4 linked regions of the Arabidopsis thaliana genome follow. The protein of the gene in region 1 interacts with the protein of each later gene in a pairwise test. Each region holds a gene or a part of one and is shown in the gene's direction. Other genes may lie near its edges. The genes, in order: CSP3, DCP5, AT3G23390 and PTAC16.

Region 1 (4,125 bases):
ATTAGAGCAAACCCAGAGATTCTGGGTGGTTGTGCCACGTAGGATCAACACGGTTTATCGTGCCACGTAGGATCTGTCGCGTTTTTAGCCTTTGTATCCATAAGTAGTAAGTAGTCTGTATTTAGTATTTACCATCTAATAAAGAAAATAAAAATTTATGTATAACTTAAAGTGTTCCAACTTAGCAATCAATAGTATGTAGCCTTGGAGAAACAGATTTTTTTTGTTACAGGTAAGATTTACATACTGAAATCATATAGCATTCTTAGAAAATTTTAGTTGTATTATGTTGTAGTCACCTAATTTAAAAAGCTGGGAGTGTTTTTTTTCTAGTCGCACAATCAGCCGACATCGACAATAAAAGAAAAGAAGATCTATGTCAAATAGTAACAAAAATACATAAATACATATATATGTAAAGATTTTAATACTGTTGCGGTGCGGTTTTGGGTGTGGTCTATGTTACCATTCATGGTCTTAGTCTATCGAAAGTTCGATAACGTTGTTTGCCTTGGTGGCAGTGAATTTTTTCCTGTCACGCGACTGTGAAAAGAGTAATTTTTAGAGACGTTACAATCGCATATCGTGAATTCCGATGTATGTGATATGTGTATGTGGAGGGTTACTGAGAGTTTTTTCTATGGGCGTTATAAACATTTTTAGTTTGAACGTTGTGCAATCAACTAGGTATGCATGCATGGGTTAATTTTATGATTCTAATTTTTTTGGGTAAAAGTTATATAAATAACGGTATTTCAAAGAGTTAACATTGGGTCAAATTTCTTGCTCAGAATTTCAGAGTTATACTAACATGACGTTTATGATGATAATAATTATAGTCAATTTAAATTGCCTTCACCAGGGCCACCAAAATAGCTAAGCAAATACGACAGACAAGGTTCTTTTCTTCTCGTCATCATAATCCATGTGTCACTCTTGTTTCAACATGCCATGTTCTGGAACATTTGCATCTCACGAATCTTTCATAATATTTACAAAAAAAAACTCATATTCTTTTCACATATATATAACTATTTTAAATGTGAACAAAAAAAAAGTAATTATAAATTCACTATTGTCATTAAAAGAAAAATAAATAAAAAAAGGAACTCTTGTCATTTTCTTAAGTATAGCATTGTCATGACAAAAGCTATGCTGTCCATAAACAATGGGAAGCAGAAGATTGTTGATGTTCGACACCATACATTATCAAAATATATAATATATATATATATATAATAGACGATAGATATCCAATAATTAGTTTAAGTAATTGGGATGTTCTTTTTTTCTTGCTTCTAGAAGAAAATATGATCGAATCATTTTTTTCTTCACAATTGAACTTCGGATAATATCATCCATGTATTGGTTCATTGAATTAAAAAAGTGAGCTGGGATATTGAAAATTTGGATGCAAAATAAGTTGCATAAAAATAGATATAATATCAAAATATAATATATTGTTTAGATAAAACAACCAAAAGTGTGAAACACTTTCTCTTCTAGTAGAAGTATAACATAATAATCTAAATCATGTCATATTTACTTTAGATTTACTATGAATATCCCTTTCTTTTTGCAAAAAGTGATAATTATAGACTGCATTTTCATCCAATTCCCAGAGTTTGGGGATGGTTAAGAGATGATAAAACATCTCAAGCATTTTTTTTAAAGTTAGTGTGAAATCAAACCTTATCAATTTTGCTTAGTTCTTTTGAAACTCTTACATAAATAGGCCCATTTCATTATGTGAACCATGGGCCTGATCCAAAATGCACACGTGGTAACTGCCGCCGATAGAGAAGGAGCTGACGTGGCGAATTTAAGGTCAATTTGGGGTTAATAGATCTAGCAAGTAGCAATTTAGGGTTTTCATTTTACCCATTTCCTCTCTTTGTACGAACAAAGTGCTTCGAGTTTTTGTTAACCTTTTTCTCTGATCTAATGGCGATGGAAGATCAATCGGCGGCGAGATCTATCGGAAAAGTTAGTTGGTTTAGCGATGGAAAAGGCTACGGTTTCATTACTCCCGATGATGGCGGCGAAGAGCTTTTTGTTCATCAATCCTCAATTGTCTCCGATGGATTCCGTAGCTTGACTCTTGGTGAATCGGTTGAATACGAAATCGCGCTTGGAAGCGACGGAAAGACTAAGGCCATTGAAGTTACTGCTCCCGGCGGCGGTTCACTTAATAAGAAGGAAAACAGCTCCCGTGGATCCGGAGGTAATTGTTTTAATTGCGGTGAGGTTGGTCATATGGCTAAGGATTGTGACGGTGGAAGTGGTGGGAAAAGCTTTGGAGGTGGTGGTGGTCGTAGATCTGGCGGCGAAGGTGAATGTTACATGTGTGGTGATGTGGGACACTTCGCTAGGGATTGTAGGCAAAGCGGTGGTGGAAACAGCGGCGGAGGAGGAGGAGGTGGTCGTCCGTGTTACAGTTGCGGTGAGGTTGGTCATTTGGCAAAGGATTGTCGTGGTGGTTCTGGTGGAAACAGATACGGAGGAGGTGGTGGTCGTGGATCTGGCGGTGATGGATGCTACATGTGTGGTGGTGTGGGACATTTCGCTAGGGATTGTAGGCAAAACGGCGGTGGAAACGTTGGAGGTGGTGGAAGCACTTGTTATACCTGTGGCGGAGTTGGCCACATTGCGAAAGTTTGCACCAGCAAGATACCTTCTGGTGGTGGTGGTGGTGGTCGTGCTTGTTACGAATGTGGAGGAACTGGCCATTTGGCTCGTGACTGTGATCGGAGAGGAAGTGGAAGCAGCGGAGGTGGCGGTGGCAGTAACAAGTGCTTCATCTGCGGCAAGGAAGGTCACTTTGCGAGGGAATGTACTTCGGTTGCTTAACAAAAAGATGCAAAGAAGAAGAGTAATGTTCATAAACCTCTTTTGTTTTCTATTAAAATCTACCTAATGCTCCTTTTTGGTGACTATAATGTGATTGCTAAAGTCGTTTAGGATGTTTAAGAATGGTTGTTTTGGGAGTTTTTGATCTCTCTATATTACTCTTTTGACTGGTTTATGCAACCTGTTCACTGCTTTTGTTGATGCCATAAGTTTGAGATCTTGAATGATATGTGTGCTTGCTTATTTACAGTTTCTTGTCTTTCCTTGCAATGAGTGTGATTGTATGACTTGAAAATTCAATCTGTTATGGTCACTTCTGTTATATACCAAGATTTGAGACTTTTTTTTACTAACTTGTAAATACAAAGAGATGAGTCACAAGTCTTTCTTGGTTCCTCTTTGTTGGAGAGCTTAAAGATTTTCCTGTAACTGGTTTACTTATACTCTGCATTGCTGTTTTTCTTGTTCTTGATGAAACAGAGATATTAGCTTAAGAATAATCTTTTGATATTTTAGATTACTTAGATCTTGTTTTAGGAGAATCTCCTGAACAGAGGAGAGACATGGTGTGCGTGATCTTGTAGTGCCTATGCCTGTTCGTCAGTTCGTGGTTTCTTTTTCTCTACTTACCGTGATGTTTTAAGAAGATGATGAAGTTAATCCCGTTAGTTTTTTTTAACCTAATTACACTTGTGATTAGCTGAATCTTTCGGATATAAACATTTGGATCCCACGTGTTCTGTTATTGGAAGTGACTTGATCTTTCTTAACATATACAAAGACAAGCTTCTAATGTCCAACACCTCCTTTATTTCCGTTAATACAAAATCCCACCAATTCCAGTACAATTAACTTACTACACAACACCATACATGTCTCTTTCCTATCAAAGTCTTTAAACTAAATAACTTTTTCCTTAACAAACAAAAGAGAGCTTTTTCCTCCTCTAACCTTTATCTAAATTTCTAGTTTTGAATTTAGGAAGAGATCCTCAACAAATAGTTATAAAAAAAAAATGTATAATTTTCGAAAAGGATAACAAGTATACTAGCTTGATTCGTAATTTCCATTTCACAAGTATTAATGAGAATATTGAAATAAAGGAAATGATGAGTGAACATGTATCGGATTCTGTAATGGCAAAACTCATATAGGGAAAATTGATATTATGAAACTTTCCATAACACAAATCCCCGATTCTCTTATATAAACACGATCCCTAACTTCTCCTGAATCATACAACATCAAACGGTAACAATGGATTTGGCTAAAGTC
Region 2 (5,988 bases), on another chromosome or scaffold:
CTGGAGGGTAAGCAAAATCCTTTCTTTTGGTCTCAGAGTTCAAATGACTAGATTAATAACTTGTTATTTTGGTCTTCCCAGTTATAAGGATAAGACGATACATTGGAATGTAAATTTTTCTGTCAAGAAGTTGAGAAAAACAAGTTTCTTTAATTGCCTGAGTATTTATATATGTGTTAACTCCAGTTTTTATCTAGCCACCAAGGTCTTTTGTAGAAATGCTAGGCAATTCGTAGAACGGTGAAGTAATGGTCAAATATTAGCTCAAAGTAGCAAGTAGATTCCTGCCTTCTACCCAACTAAAGCAACAAATTTTTTGATGAGGCCTCACATCATCTGCTTGGCTATTCTTAACAAACTTTGTGATCGTGATCTACAGATACAACCTTTTGAACCTTGTGGACCACTTCCATAGCAGGGGGCTGTACCGTTCCATCTTTCTGAGGTATAGCATTTTCTCTTTTGGAATCTTGGTATAGCTTACGTTACTCACCTGGCCAGTAGAGCAGCCTGAAATTTTTACAGTTTAACGTGTGACGTTTGATTTTCCTCAGCATCATGGAAGGAGAGGAATCATTAAGGCAGTTCTCTCCTGAATTAGTAGTGCAAAACCCGAATCTCAAACACATCATTGCTCGTCTCCCACCTTTTATTTTATTCCATGGTACTGATGACTACTCCATCCCGTCAGATGCAAGGTATGGTTTAACTTTTGTGTGTATTTGTCTGTCTTATGTATATCAGAAAGTTAAGATGATGATTGAACTTCTATTACACTATCTTTGCAGTAAATCTTTTGCGGAAACCCTCCAGAGGCTTGGGGCCAAAGCAAAAGTGATCCTTTACGAGGGGAAAACACACACGGATTTGTTTCTTCAGGTAAAATGGCCGGTCTTTTTGAGGTATGAATGTCTTGTCGGACAAGAACCTGAATTTTGATCTAGAAACTTGGTTATCTATGTTAGGATCCAATGAGAGGTGGAATAGATGAGATGTTTGAAGATATAGTAACAGTGGTTCTGGGAGACGATCAAGAAGCGATTGGTAAAAGCGTAGATAGAAGGCGTCTTGTACCTGAATTCATGTTGAAGTTGGCTCACTGGGTCAGTCCGTTCTAACTCCTACACTCTTATCTCCCAGAAGATCAAAGGAAGTACATTCCTTCTTCCAGTGATACAGACGGGTCAATGTGCATATTACTTAACAAGGAAAACAGATCCCACTATACTTTGACGATACAGATGATTTTGAACTTTGATGATGATGATATTGTATCCCGGTTTGCAAATACACTGATTATTTCGTCATTGCCTGTTTGTGTTTTTGTAGAACACTGAAAGTGCATTAAAGAAACAAGGCTTCATTGACTTTGTCACCTTAATTAAACTGTCTTTGGTCTTCTTCTTCTCTGATCATTAATCATTGGTTGCACTATTTTCTTGGCATCAGTTGACTTCTCTACCTATATACAAAGTGCCGAACCAGTGTCATTTAACAAGGAAGAAATGTAGGTCTGATTTTTTTTTTAATAATTAAAACTCTCCAAAGGTGTGATTTTCTTGAGAAAAAAAGGTGTGATTTTCTTGACAAAAAAAGGTGTGATTTTCTTAACCCCAATTTTCAACTAAAAATGTAGGTGAAATCACCAAAAATATTTCTCAAAATTCATTTTTTAAAAGGCCTTTTAATTTATGAATAACACTAGATTTGATACTAGGATTAATATGTAAATAATAAGCTCTAACCATCCTACCAAAATAAAATAATAAACTCTAACCAGAGTAAGCAATCAGAACACGAGCCGTGGGATTGGAATGGCTCGAGTAGGCTCGTAGCTACTCGCCTAAACACACCATTGGCGGTGAATTACGAAATAAACCCTTCGCGTGTACACGAGGCATACTTCGGTTAGTGATTAGAGAGAAGTCAATGGAGCCATACTAGGCTATAATGGTCAGATTGATATTATTTTCTGAATTGGGCTTTTATGGGAATGGATAATAAAAAAGAGATGCTCGATCTCCCCAAATTAGAGTAAACCCTAATTGTGTATCTGTAGCTTTCTCTCTCTCTCTCTCTCTCTCTCTCGCGAAGAAGAAGAAGAAGAAGGAGATCAAGGAACTCGAAGTGTGTGTGTGTGTGTTTGCCTTCTCTTGTCTTTTAGTTTTTTCTCTCTTTGGCTGTGATTTCGTCGGCGAAGAGAGACATAGATCGGATATGGCGGCTGATAATACGGGTTCGAAATCGAGCTCCGCTGCGGATTCTTACGTTGGGAGCTTGATTAGTTTGACATCTAAGAGTGAGATCAGATACGAAGGGATCCTTTACAATATTAATACAGATGAATCCAGTATCGGACTTCAAAACGGTACGATCCGTTTCCACTTCCGTTTCGGGATTACCAGATTTGTTAAGTGTTAATTTTGGTGGTGTTTTCTCTCGGATTTGGTAGAAACTAATGGTTTCTTCCGTTAATCGTTAAGAAAGTTTTCTCCAATCTGAACTGTTTAGCTCGATTTGAAAGGAATGTTGTTTTAGTGCTCATGTCTATTACTTGAGTTCTCAAATTGTAATTGATGTCTTGAAACTATTGGTTGAGCATAAAAGATCAGTGTTTAAGTGGTCGATGAGGTAGATTTTGGTTCTGATCCCTGAACTTTTGTTGTGTGTAGTTCGATCATTTGGAACTGAAGGAAGGAAAAAAGATGGTCCACAAGTTCCTCCAAGTGACAAAGTTTACGAGTACATATTGTTCCGTGGAACTGATATCAAGGTATTCAGCAGGATTATGCTAATACTTCTATGTAAGTAGCCTGCCGATTTTGTACTCTGATTGTTCTTGTTGTTGGTAGGATTTGCAAGTCAAAGCTTCTCCACCAGTTCAGCCTCCTGCATCTACTATAAATAATGACCCTGCTATAATTCAGGTGAATGTTAGAAAAGTTGTAAGATTACATTGTCTGGGATTTTGGAGTCAATTGATGTAACCCCATCCTCCACTTGTCTTGGTTTTGCAGTCTCACTACCCTAGCCCGATGCCAACATCTGGTAGCTTGCCTTCTACTGCGAGCGGGTCACTACCTGACATTAGTTCTCATAATGGACAACCTGGACAACATGGAATGGGATTTCAAAACGCAATGCCTTTGTATCAGCCTGGTGGAAATCTTGGTTCATGGGGAGCGTCACCACAACCACCAATGTATTGGCAAGGTTTCTACACCCCACCTCCCAATGGCCTTCCCCAATTGCATCAGCAGTCTCTGATTCGACCCCCTCATGGGCTGCCAATGCCCAACTCTCTTCAGCAACCCCTGCAATATCCTAACTTTAATACCCCTCCTCCACCTACTGGGTCATCATCTTTGCAGGGGTCAAGCTTGCCAGAAGCACCCTCTTCATTGTTTCCTTTTAGTACCAGTTCTCAAATGTTAGCTCCTAGTTCATTGCCTTTCCCTGGTCTACCACCTGTGACGCTCTCGTCTAGCCTGCAGTCTACACTGCAATCAGCACCATCTCCTTCACTAGCTTCAGAGATGGCACCTCCGTTGCTGTCAAACAAAGCTCCTATTACTGCTCCTCCTACCCTACCTCAGGATACTAATTTGCTTTCGTTTTCTCTATCTACTACGAGAGCCACAGAAGCAAGTACTGGCCTTCCACTGTCTAACAAGCCTAGTGTAGTAACTGGTCCAATTTCTCCGCCGCAGACAACACCATTAACATCTGCTCCTGTTGCGGGAGTTTCTAGTTCCATTAGCCAAGATAAGCCAAAACCTTTGTTGGTTACTCCTGGTCAACTGCTGCAGTCTGGATCTTCTGCAGTCTCTTTGTCCCCACCCTCGACAAATGCTGATAAAGATGTTGAGGTGGTTCAAGTATCGTCATCAGCTGGGTTGGAACAATCTGTTCCAGTTACATCCGAAGCCCAACCTCCAATACTGCCATTGCCTTCCTCTGCAAGACCAACTCAGAAGGTTTTTAACTTACATAACATGCCAAATCCTTCAATGTCTCTTATTAATATCATAAAGAACCTTGAATTTGCTGGTGTCTTAGTTAGCTGGAATAAGGTGTAACTGTTATAACTGCACCTGTGGTAATTCCCATTTTAATATTCCATGCTGTGTCTCTTTTGCTTTGTTGAAGATGCATGAAAATCTCTCAGGGTTCTTTGGTGTATAAGATGGTTTCTTTGCATGTCTACTTATAAGTCTTCATGGTGAAATTATTTAAACTCAATTGCTGATTTTTTTTCTCAGCCAAACGGGCATTCTTTCCCAAATCATAATGGTTACAGGGGACGTGGAAGAGGACGAGGAAGAGGAGCAGGGGTACTATTCTTCTCACTCATTTGTAGAATGTGACGGCATTTATTTGTTTTTACCAAGGAAAAGATCTACCAGTTTAAAATAGCTCATGAACTTTAGCCATGTATGCTAATAATTCTTCTTGTTGGCAGAGATCACACCAAGTAATGAAATTCACTGAAGATTTTGATTTCACAGCAATGAACGAAAAGTTCAATAAGGATGAAGTATGGGGTCATCTTGGGAAGAGTACTACCTTAGATGGTGATGAAGATGATGATTCCCCGACTGTAGATGAGGCTGAGCTTCCTAAGATCGAGGCCAAAGTAAGTGAAGTAGACTTATAATCAAGTAAAGCCACCATATTCTCCCTCTCTGGTCTCATCCACATTGTTTATTGATGTAGCCTGTTTACAACAAAGATGACTTTTTCGATAGCCTATCATCAAACACCATTGACCGAGAGTCCCAAAATTCAAGGCCTAGGTTCTCAGAGCAACGGAAACTAGATACTGAGGTACAATCTATATATTTCCACACTCTGAATAGCAAGCAGACTGGACAGAGTTTGTCCCCCCTCGTTGCTGGAGATACTCGAATTCCCAGAATCGTAAGAGAATCCCATTGACTAACAGAACGTATTGCTATGATTTCAGACATTTGGTGAATTCTCGAGATTCCGAGGAGGTCGAGGAGGGCGTGGTGGTTATGGACGAAACAACGGTTACTCACGTGGTGGTTATGGAGGGCGTGGTTATGGCGGTTATGGTGGCCGTGGCGGCGGCGGCGGTGGCTACGGGTATGGTGGACGTGGCCAGGGGAGAGGCGTATCAAATCGTACTACCTAAACTGTTCTGCTAGAAAGGGCTCTAAAGACTCAAAATCCAATGGGAGCTCAGCTCTTGAGTGCTTTTGGTATGTGGCAATAAAACAAAAACCGAGTCCCGTGTAATGTTTTCTGTTATAAAACCCCACTTGTGTGGTTTTGGAGTGTATTAATTTGATTTCTGATCTTTGTTTTTAAGACTTGGTAATAGCGTCGTTCTTCTTATATCCAATGTTATTTTGAACTTTTGTATACTCGACATTTGGTGTGAAATGCATTTTCTATTTACTCTCAATAGCTTGTTGCTGTTTACTGTTGGTAGCTTCTTGTCTAAATTTCAAAAGTCAAACATTTTGACTTTCAATACAGTACCAGCAGCCTTGAATCAAATGGGCCTTATTAAGAGATAGAGAGGTCTTCTTTATACAAGATCCATAAAATGTCCTCTCTATTTCTCAAATTATCATTTTGTCGGCAACTCTAGTGTCTGAGAGACTGTAGTCACTGTACTCTACAGTAGCACTACTTACTCAACTTTTGAAGAGAGAAAACAGAAATGGGAAGTGTAGATCCTTCAAGACTATCATTGGTCTTGTTTGCGAGACTGTCCGGTTTAGTAGTCGCAGTTTCGGTTCTGTACTGGGCTCTCTTCCTGCCTAATCTAGGACTCAGCTACTCTGTAACTATCACACTCCCTTCCTCGTTGATATCAAATTGGATCTCTCTCTCTCTCTCTCTTTCTCTCTCTAATAAAGTTTTTATACCCTTGTAGACTCTTCATCCTCTGCTGATGGTGATTGGCTTCATTCTTGTAAGTGGAGAAGGTAGTGATGATCCCTCCTCATGCCCCTT
Region 3 (3,650 bases), on another chromosome or scaffold:
GGCTATCCTTTGACTTCCAACTTCTACATCCAATAATCATCCGCCACGTAGCTTTTATGCATATGTAAAAAAGAAATAGGCAAGAAAAAAAGAGAGCCTTTGTGATCGAACAAAGAGGACAACATTTGAGATTTCTTTCTTCTTACGTTACCTCTCTCTTAAACAAAACAAGAAACAAGATAACAACACAAATAAGTTTGAGAAAAAAACTTTTTGATTTGAAGATAGTAACATTTTGTGTAGTTTTCTTAACCAGGTATCATTTTCTTCTTCTCCAAACAGAAATAGATGTGTGTGTTTTTTATCTTATCGTTTGTTTATATATTCCTCTCAAATTTGCAGAAACTCATAGCTCTTGGACATCTATATGAATCTATTTCTTTGTTAAATAGGGTTTTATCTACTCCACAAACATGTAAGTTCTTTTTTATTTTTCTTAAGATTCTTATCGCAATAGGATTCACGCAAAAACAATTTAATTCTTTGGCCAATCTATGCATTACCGAAAGTTGTATCCCTAAGAGAAGAAGAATCTCAAAGAAAAAATATTAATTTATGAAAAAATGTTTATTTTTTTTCCTTGGTGTGCAAGCTAGGTATGCATCTGCAAGTTGAATATGACCTCACCTATGAAGGGTCTATTAAAAGGTTTGAGGTACATTGCTCGTATCTTCGGTGAGTTTATTTGTTCTCGAAACAAAGATCATATATGTCTATACAATTACCAAAAATCAGATTCTTAAATCTTATAAAAAAAAATTGTTGTAGAGGATGAGAAGGAACCAGAGATGCAGATTGGAATACCAACCGATGTCAAACATGTTGCTCATATAGGATGGGAAGGGCCCTCAGCTACCACCCCAAGCTGGGTATATCCTTCTCTCAATATTTTTATAACATATTCTACATATCTTTTGTTTGTGGATTAGGTCAAATATTTTCATGGGAATATGCAGATGCATGATTTCAAGCCTACCGATCAAACGAAGACTGAGACGAAAGGAACATCTAACAAAAAACCTGGGAGTTCCGGGGAGAAACATAGGAAGGGAAGACGTAAAACATCAACAGGAAACAACTCACCTACAGAATCTCCATCAAGGGTAGGAGGATCAGTAAGGCCATCAAAACGCAACACGGGGAAACAAAGAGAGCAGAACACGGGTTCAGGGTCAGAGTCAGGTTCAGGATTAGAGTTACCTCAACAGACTGATCAGTTTGTTGTACCAAAACAATCAAAGCAAAAAAAGTCAAAAGGATCAGCAACAGGAGGAGGCGAACCTCCTCCATCTAATGAACCATCAAACAAGAAAGAAACAGATATATCTGTGAGAGCGGTTTACCCTTGTGCGGGTCTTGGAAGTTCTACAGGAAGATGAAAGATGAGGAACAAAGAAAGAGAGTGTTATATTTTCAAGATTAGACTAGAGTGTGGTGGTGGTGGTGGTATTGTTTCTTCTCATGATTGATCTACACACTTTAGTCTTTTCTCTCCCTTTTGTTGGAAATGCCTTTGCATTACAAGACCAATGTTTTATATCGCGTCGAGAAAAGAGAACCCTTTGATGATTGTGAACCAGGGATGTGAAATATATGCTTGCTTAACACTCTTAAATTATTCTCAAGGAATCTTTCGATTGTGTTCTTAGGATTCAATTAGTAATAGACTTGAGTGTGTTTGACATATCTATTGGGCTTCGATTGTTTGTTGCGTTTACATGTTATAATAGGTTTTTATTTCTTGGTTCAAACGAAACCAAAACTTAAAAGTAAATCATTTTTTTCTACTGAATTTTGTTTTTGATGCTTTTGATTTCATTTGATCACTTCAACTTTAGTTCCAGGGTCTTGACGATTTAATTCAAAAAGCAAAAAAATCAATAGGAAACAAAAACTCATAAAGGACTTTGACATACAGATGGGCCCATTGTTTATGACCAATCCTTATACTATATATGGGCCTTATTAGTTAAACCTAAGGCCCAAAGTCAGATTAGGGTTTTCAGAAAGTGTACTATAAATTCTTCTTCTTTAAACAACTTCGTCTAGTGGAACGACGACGGCACAAAAGCTTCACCGGAGATCAGAGACGCGAAAATGGTAAATTGTTTCTTCTCTTTCGATGTGATTTTGGAATTTGTAAAGTTCGTTGACTTTGAAGAACAACAATACATGGTTGATTGATTTATTGTATTGTTTTTCAGATCTATCATAAAAGTTTTCAATCTAAATGATGTTTGTATTTTGATTAACCTTAAAAGTCTCTTGATTTTGTATGTGTGTGAGTGATTCATTTTTGATTTTATGAATTTTGAAGGTGAACATTCCAAAGACAAAGAACACTTACTGTAAGAACAAGGAATGCAAAAAGCATACTTTGCACAAGGTTACCCAATACAAGAAGGGTAAAGACAGTCTTGCTGCTCAAGGAAAGCGTCGTTATGACCGTAAACAATCTGGTTATGGTGGTCAGACTAAGCCTGTCTTCCACAAAAAGGTAACATTGATTATCATGCATTGATTGTTTTTTCAGTTTGAATTAGGTCTAGTTAGTTGAAATGAGGTAGTTTTAAGGAACCATTTATAGTAGAATTTTGGAAGTGAGCTGTGAGGAAACAGACATTCCAATAGTCTCAGTTTTGGACTGAGATACATCTTGTGAATCTTGTTAACAGGCTAAGACCACGAAGAAGATTGTTTTGAGGCTTCAGTGTCAAAGCTGCAAGCACTTTTCGCAGCGTCCTATCAAGGTGCATAGAACATAGATCAGTTCATTATACCGGATTTGTAACTTGGTAATTTGCTTACATTGTGTTGGTTTGTTGTTTATTTCAGAGGTGCAAGCATTTCGAGATCGGTGGTGACAAGAAGGGAAAGGGAACATCTCTGTTTTAAGTTGGTTTCATCTTATTTTCTGCGATTTTTGTACTTGCTGGATTTGGAATCCATTTGTTTTAGCTCTCTCGTATAAGATTGTCTCATCTTTGCTTGTTAACTCTATATTTTGAATCATCAAGATATGGTTTTGCTGTTAATCATTGACCTTCGATATTTTTTTGCCAATCCGTTCTCTCTACCAACCTAAGAAAAAATCACTAATATCTCACATTAGAGGGTGCAAAATTTGGAAGGTCTATATCATTGTCCAATTTTCTGAGTCATACAAATTCTTTCATATGATTCATTGAACAAGACACTCATTTACTTATAAAGCGCATTTATATGTTCACATGATTTGTACAAAACTCATGAGACTGCATCAAGCAGAAAGTATTTATTTATCTTTACATGTCAAAGCTTTGAGAATTAAGCAATGACGAATACCCTAAGTTCACCTCTGTCCCCGCGAGTTATGCGCATGGTATCATCAACATAGGTAACTTCGAAATCCCCAGTTCCAGGGTTTGACGATGGTCTGAAACTGTCGGGAAGCCTCGGGATATCAAACGGAGGAATCTGCGACAAGTTTCCCGATGTCTTCACAGTTGTTTTCTCAAATGTTATCTTGATCTTGCAAGTGCCTGTTTTCCCCATAAATGTCAAAGATACAGATAAGTTATTTTGCTCTTACACAATTCGATAAACTTAATGAGAGAAAGGGAAATGCAAACCTAAGAGTTCAAACTTGTGTGCCAATGTCGCAGTGGCTT
Region 4 (4,859 bases), on another chromosome or scaffold:
AATTGCGCAATTGAATTGCCGTCAAGTATTAGTGTCGCTCGACACCAGGGGTTGTGTCGATTGACACCTACGTCAATTTTCGTCTCAGGATTGCTTCTACAGCCTAAGTTGTATGTTTTGTTCAAGAATGCTCCATAATCTCCAAATGCATCCCAAACATGTAAAGACTTGAAAAAGACTAGAAAAGACTCTACAAATAACAAAAGAACTCTAAAAACTATACCTAGATCATAGCTAAAAGCAGTGAAAATCGAGGTATATCAGAGATGAAGTTGAGAAAATTATGGAAAGATGAACAGTCTTAGAGCTAAAACACATCATCCACTCATAACCTAAAATAGTGACACATCAATTATTTCTTTAAATTTTAGATTAGGGCAGTTAAAATTTTCCAGTTATCTTACAACTATACACAAACTTGTGAATAATTTTTGACAAAAATCACATAATGTAATATATTTATAGTATATAATCCAATTATGATATTAATTCATTAAAAGTTAATACATACATATATTATTCATTTGCAAAATACTTTAATCTGATTTCATAACAATTCATCATATGAAAGTCAAACTTGACTATTGATGATCATATTTATAAATAAGGGTTTACATGGTGAGTTTTTAAAGAAAAAATCTATACCATGAACCAAACATTAGATTTCTTATTCATCTAATCATTTAAGGATCACAAGATTTGGTGATAGTTAATTTTTGGAATCATTTTAACTTTCGTTGATGATATTTGGCCCACTATTGATGGGTTTATATTAGGATTTATTACGTTGTGAATCTATTTTATATACCGAACTTGAAATTTATATCATCTACAGAAAATCTGCTAGGACGTTGCAAAAATATAAGAGTAGTTTTGATATTTTGAAAATATTGTATTCAAATTAATATTGAAAAACAGCACATTTTAGATCATTTATATTTTAATTAATACGTATATCTAAGATTATATAAGTGTCAACTTTTAATTTTAAGTGTTTTTTCTTTTTATGCATGACGGTCAATCACATCAAATTTTTTAACGAGACACATACATATTTTACATTATTATTGCAAATAACTACTAACCGAATAAAAATCTATTGAATTTTCTGAGATTCTCTCCGGCTTGTTTTTGCTACGATGATACAAAACCACTGCAAATTGCAGCATCTGAGTCTGGTTAGTGCAAAAACCGATAAAAGAAGGTTTTTAGAGGAAGACGAGGAGAAAAAACCAATACAATAGATTTCTCTAACTGAATGTCCCAGTTTTTATTAAACCGTTTCTTCAGATTTCCGATTTAGATTAATCAGCGCGTGTCTTCCGGTTCCTGTTCGAATTGGAAATGTCAGTTTCTTCATTCAGTTGAAAAGTTCATTAGCAAAACACAATTGCTTAGGAATATTTATTTGTATAGAAAAATATAATAAATATAAACAGTCTCAAATTCGATGATTTTCTCTATTAACTTGATCGCTGTTCTCTGATTTAACTGATCCCTCAAAACCGATATCAAATTCTGATTTAACTTTAATTTCATTTTGGATACAAATGATATTACGTGAAAATATTGTAGCAAAGCTGAAAGTATTTTAATATCTGGGCCCGCAGGATCAAGATTCTGTGGCGAAAAGTTCAGACCAAGCCACATCAAGATATGTTAATGACGTGGCATTCTATTATTGGCTATGAATCTGTTCTGGATAACAAAAGCATCATCCGTAAAAAACACAAACAACGAAAGTCTTTTTTGCACTCGCCATGGTGTCTCATCTTCAATGTATGGCATCCACATTGTTTACTTGAGGTACAAGCAAAACGTCTAAGCTCGTCGACCTCCTCTTAATGGCTTCAAGTTCAACTTCATTCCCGTTAACCACCGCGCCACCGCAGGGTGTCAGGTTTAACCGGAGAAAACCGAGGTTAACCGTGTGGGCTAAGCAAACGGCGTTTCAACTCGGGAAAACGAAGGGTGATGATGACTCGGAGGGGAAACAAAAAGGGAAGAACCCGTTCCAGTTTGATTTCGGTAAGTTACCGGACATGAAGTCACTGATACCGGTTGTGACGAATCCTTCTACCGGTTTAGTGTTTGGTAATAACAGAAAGAAAGATCCTGGTACTATTTTTGTGGCTGGTGCTACGGGACAAGCTGGTATACGCATAGCTCAAACGCTCTTACAACGAGGATTCAGTGTTCGAGCCGGTGTTCCTGACCTTGGAGCTGCCCAGGACCTAGCTCGTGTCGCGGCTACTTACAAGGTCCGGTTTTGTTTTTAAGTCCTTTAATTCATAATCTGTCAATTTTCTAAACGCGATAATGTTGATCTTGATATTTGGTCGCAATCGCACTTTGGATTTAAGATTTAGCGATACGCAAACTCGGTTTGGTATTAATAATTGCTTTAACTTCGCATGTAATGTTATGTAAGTACTGTATGTCAGTGTGTCACTCGTAATAATTCACATTAACGTGTGATTACGAATTTGGTGGCGTTTAGAGCTTTGATTTATGGTTTGACGATCAGCTTTTCAACAGATTTTATCAAATGATGAAGTCAAGAGGCTAAACGCAGTTCAATCCCCCTTCCAAGACGCTGAATCAATAGCAAAAGCGATTGGAAACGCAACCAAAGTTGTTGTTACGGTCGGGGCAACAGAGAATGGTCCGGACGCCCAAGTTTCGACCTCAGACGCATTGCTCGTGGTCCAAGCAGCTGAGCTAGCCGGCGTAAGCCACGTGGCGATAGTCTACGACGGCACCATCAGCGGGTCCACATACAACGTGCTCGACGGGATTACTTCGTTTTTCGGCAATCTTTTCGCAAAATCTCAGCCATTGACTATCTCTGACCTCATCGAGAAAGTAGCTCAAACCGACGTGGCCTACACACTCATAAAGACGAGTTTGACGGAGGATTTCTCTCCGGAGAAAGCTTATAACGTCGTCGTTTCAGCTGAAGGGAGTAACAGCGGCAGTGGCAGTAGTTCGTCCGAGGCCTACAAAGTAATGTAATGTATGCGATAAAAAGGGATTATTATCATACATTACATTGAAACGAAATCATTTGGTTATAAATTGGTTTTGATTAATGGTTTTATTAACTTGTTTTGATGTTCTGTTTGTGACCAGGTTCCGAAGTTGAAGATTGCGTCGCTGGTTGCAGACATTTTTGCGAATACGGCCGTGGCAGAAAATAAGGTAGCGTATAGCACAAGTAACTTACCAGTCAAGTTTGTGATTGTTCATCATACAAACGCAGACACTAGGGCAAGAATTATCTCCGTTGAATTAAATTATATCTGTGTTTTCACTCAAAAGCATCGGCTTTGTTTTGTGTGTCCTTTTGCAGGTGGTGGAAGTTTCTACAGATCCATCAGCACCATCGCGGCCAGTGGACGAGCTTTTCAGGTAAATGAGTCCTCTGTTGATTGATTCAAAAGTCATTGGAATAATATAATGATCTTAAAACTAGCGAATTCGGATTTAAACGCGTTCTCGATCGATAGAGTGTTTCTAGCTTAGATAAACGTTTGTGTTAACTTCTTTTAATGAAACATTATCTATGAATTAATGATAGTGTAATCCCGGAAGATGGGAGGAGAAAAGTGTACGCAGATGCGATCGCAAGGGAAAGAGCAGAGGAAGAAGCTAAAGTTGCAGCTGACAAAGCTCGAGAGGCAGCAGAAGCAGCGAAAGAGTTTGAGAAGCAAATGCAAAAGCTCTCTGAGAAAGAAGCAGAAGCTGCAAGCTTAGCTGAGGATGCGCAGCAGAAAGCAGATGCCGTGGGAGTCACAGTGGACGGTTTATTTAACAAGGCGAAAGATATCAGCTCAGGTCTCTCCTGGAATAAACTCGGCTCTCAGTTCGCAACTGCGATTCAGAACGCTTCAGAGACGCCTAAAGTACAGGTTGCTACGGTCAGAGGACAAGCAAAAGCGAGAAACTTGCCACCCAAGAAAGCAGTGGTGAAGCAGAGACCATCATCTCCGTTTGCATCCAAACCGAAAGAAGAACGTCCGAAGAAGCCGGAGAAAGAGGTGAGGAAAGTGTTCGGAGGATTGTTTAAGCAAGAGACCATCTACATCGACGATGATTGAAAAGGCCATATGCGATGTCCTTTTGAAGTTCCGTACAGTTTCCTTTTTTCTCTTTCCTTCTGTTTCAAGTTAAAATTCTGTAATCGTATGACAAAATTATACATAAAAAACCATCATTCTCTCTTTAAATCCCTTGATATAACACAAGTTTTTAATTTGATTCACCTCAATTAAATTCTTAATACAAGTTTGAAGAAGATCACATCCGAATGTATATTTTATTAATCCCTAAAATACATAATCCAAACTAAAACAAAGAAATCAAAAACCGCCTTTGAGATAAAGCATGAAGAGAAAGAAAAAGATGATTACAAGAATCTAAATCCCATCAGCTTGTTCATTGATACCGTGTTGAATTCGTCCAGCGTTGTTGTTTAAGAACATCATAGCCATTAGGGCTAAGATTATGAAGAAAATCGTTCCAGTTCCTAATCCTATGCCGCTTGGTCTGGTAGCAATCTTCTTCGAAACATTATTGTTCCGGCTGCTACAATAGCTTATCAAAACCCAAACAAATGCAGAATACGCCAGAATTAAGATCGCAGCCGTTGGCATCTTTAATATCTCTTTCTTGTGTTCGTGTGCAGAAACTGACTACTCTTGTGTTTTCTTTCTTGTGTTTGTGTTTTTAGACTCTTGTGTTTTCTTTTATATTGCATGTTTAAACTAATTAATGTCAATTCGTTTGTTTCCATTTTTTTTCTTTCCAAAAAAAAAGAAGACAATTTCTTTTTCGAATTTGAGGGCACAATGAAAGTG

The links.
Region 2: the proteins of CSP3 (region 1) and DCP5 interact in a two-hybrid assay, tested with the Arabidopsis thaliana proteins (one study listed by BioGRID).
Region 3: the proteins of CSP3 (region 1) and AT3G23390 interact in a two-hybrid assay, tested with the Arabidopsis thaliana proteins (one study listed by BioGRID).
Region 4: the proteins of CSP3 (region 1) and PTAC16 interact in a two-hybrid assay, tested with the Arabidopsis thaliana proteins (one study listed by BioGRID).

Annotation. Positions count from the first base shown.
Region 1 is NC_003071.7:7,763,001-7,767,125, reverse strand, and holds CSP3 (cold shock domain protein 3), read left to right. Parts: upstream 1-1,849; 5' UTR 1,850-1,944; coding exon 1,945-2,850; 3' UTR 2,851-3,598; downstream 3,599-4,125. Other genes in the region: AT2G17860 (Pathogenesis-related thaumatin superfamily protein), read left to right, coding at 4,108-4,125.
Region 2 is NC_003070.9:9,023,786-9,029,773, reverse strand, and holds DCP5 (decapping 5), read left to right. Parts: upstream 1-1,818; 5' UTR 1,819-2,217; coding exon 2,218-2,368; intron 2,369-2,672; coding exon 2,673-2,773; intron 2,774-2,852; coding exon 2,853-2,927; intron 2,928-3,017; coding exon 3,018-3,977; intron 3,978-4,149; coding exon of another isoform or gene 4,150-4,169; intron 4,170-4,262; coding exon 4,263-4,334; intron 4,335-4,462; coding exon 4,463-4,636; intron 4,637-4,716; coding exon 4,717-4,827; intron 4,828-4,966; coding exon 4,967-5,158; 3' UTR 5,159-5,433; downstream 5,434-5,988. Other genes in the region: ICME-LIKE1 (alpha/beta-Hydrolases superfamily protein), read left to right, coding at 1-7, 380-445, 555-698, 789-879, 966-1,118; AT1G26100 (Cytochrome b561/ferric reductase transmembrane protein family), read left to right, coding at 5,693-5,815, 5,909-5,960. UniProt on the Arabidopsis thaliana protein: As a component of the decapping complex, involved in the degradation of mRNAs. Promotes P-body formation. Translational repressor.
Region 3 is NC_003074.8:8,373,330-8,376,979, forward strand, and holds AT3G23390 (Zinc-binding ribosomal protein family protein), read left to right. Parts: upstream 1-2,003; 5' UTR 2,004-2,097; coding exon 2,098-2,100; intron 2,101-2,317; coding exon 2,318-2,497; intron 2,498-2,675; coding exon 2,676-2,750; intron 2,751-2,835; coding exon 2,836-2,895; 3' UTR 2,896-3,107; downstream 3,108-3,650. Other genes in the region: RIC5 (ROP-interactive CRIB motif-containing protein 5), read left to right, coding at 618-675, 769-869, 957-1,379; FIB4 (Plastid-lipid associated protein PAP / fibrillin family protein), read right to left, coding at 3,307-3,521, 3,612-3,650.
Region 4 is NC_003074.8:17,226,922-17,231,780, forward strand, and holds PTAC16 (plastid transcriptionally active 16), read left to right. Parts: upstream 1-1,720; 5' UTR 1,721-1,844; coding exon 1,845-2,261; intron 2,262-2,538; coding exon 2,539-3,006; intron 3,007-3,132; coding exon 3,133-3,201; intron 3,202-3,352; coding exon 3,353-3,411; intron 3,412-3,580; coding exon 3,581-4,100; 3' UTR 4,101-4,308; downstream 4,309-4,859. UniProt on the Arabidopsis thaliana protein: Probably involved in the regulation of plastid gene expression.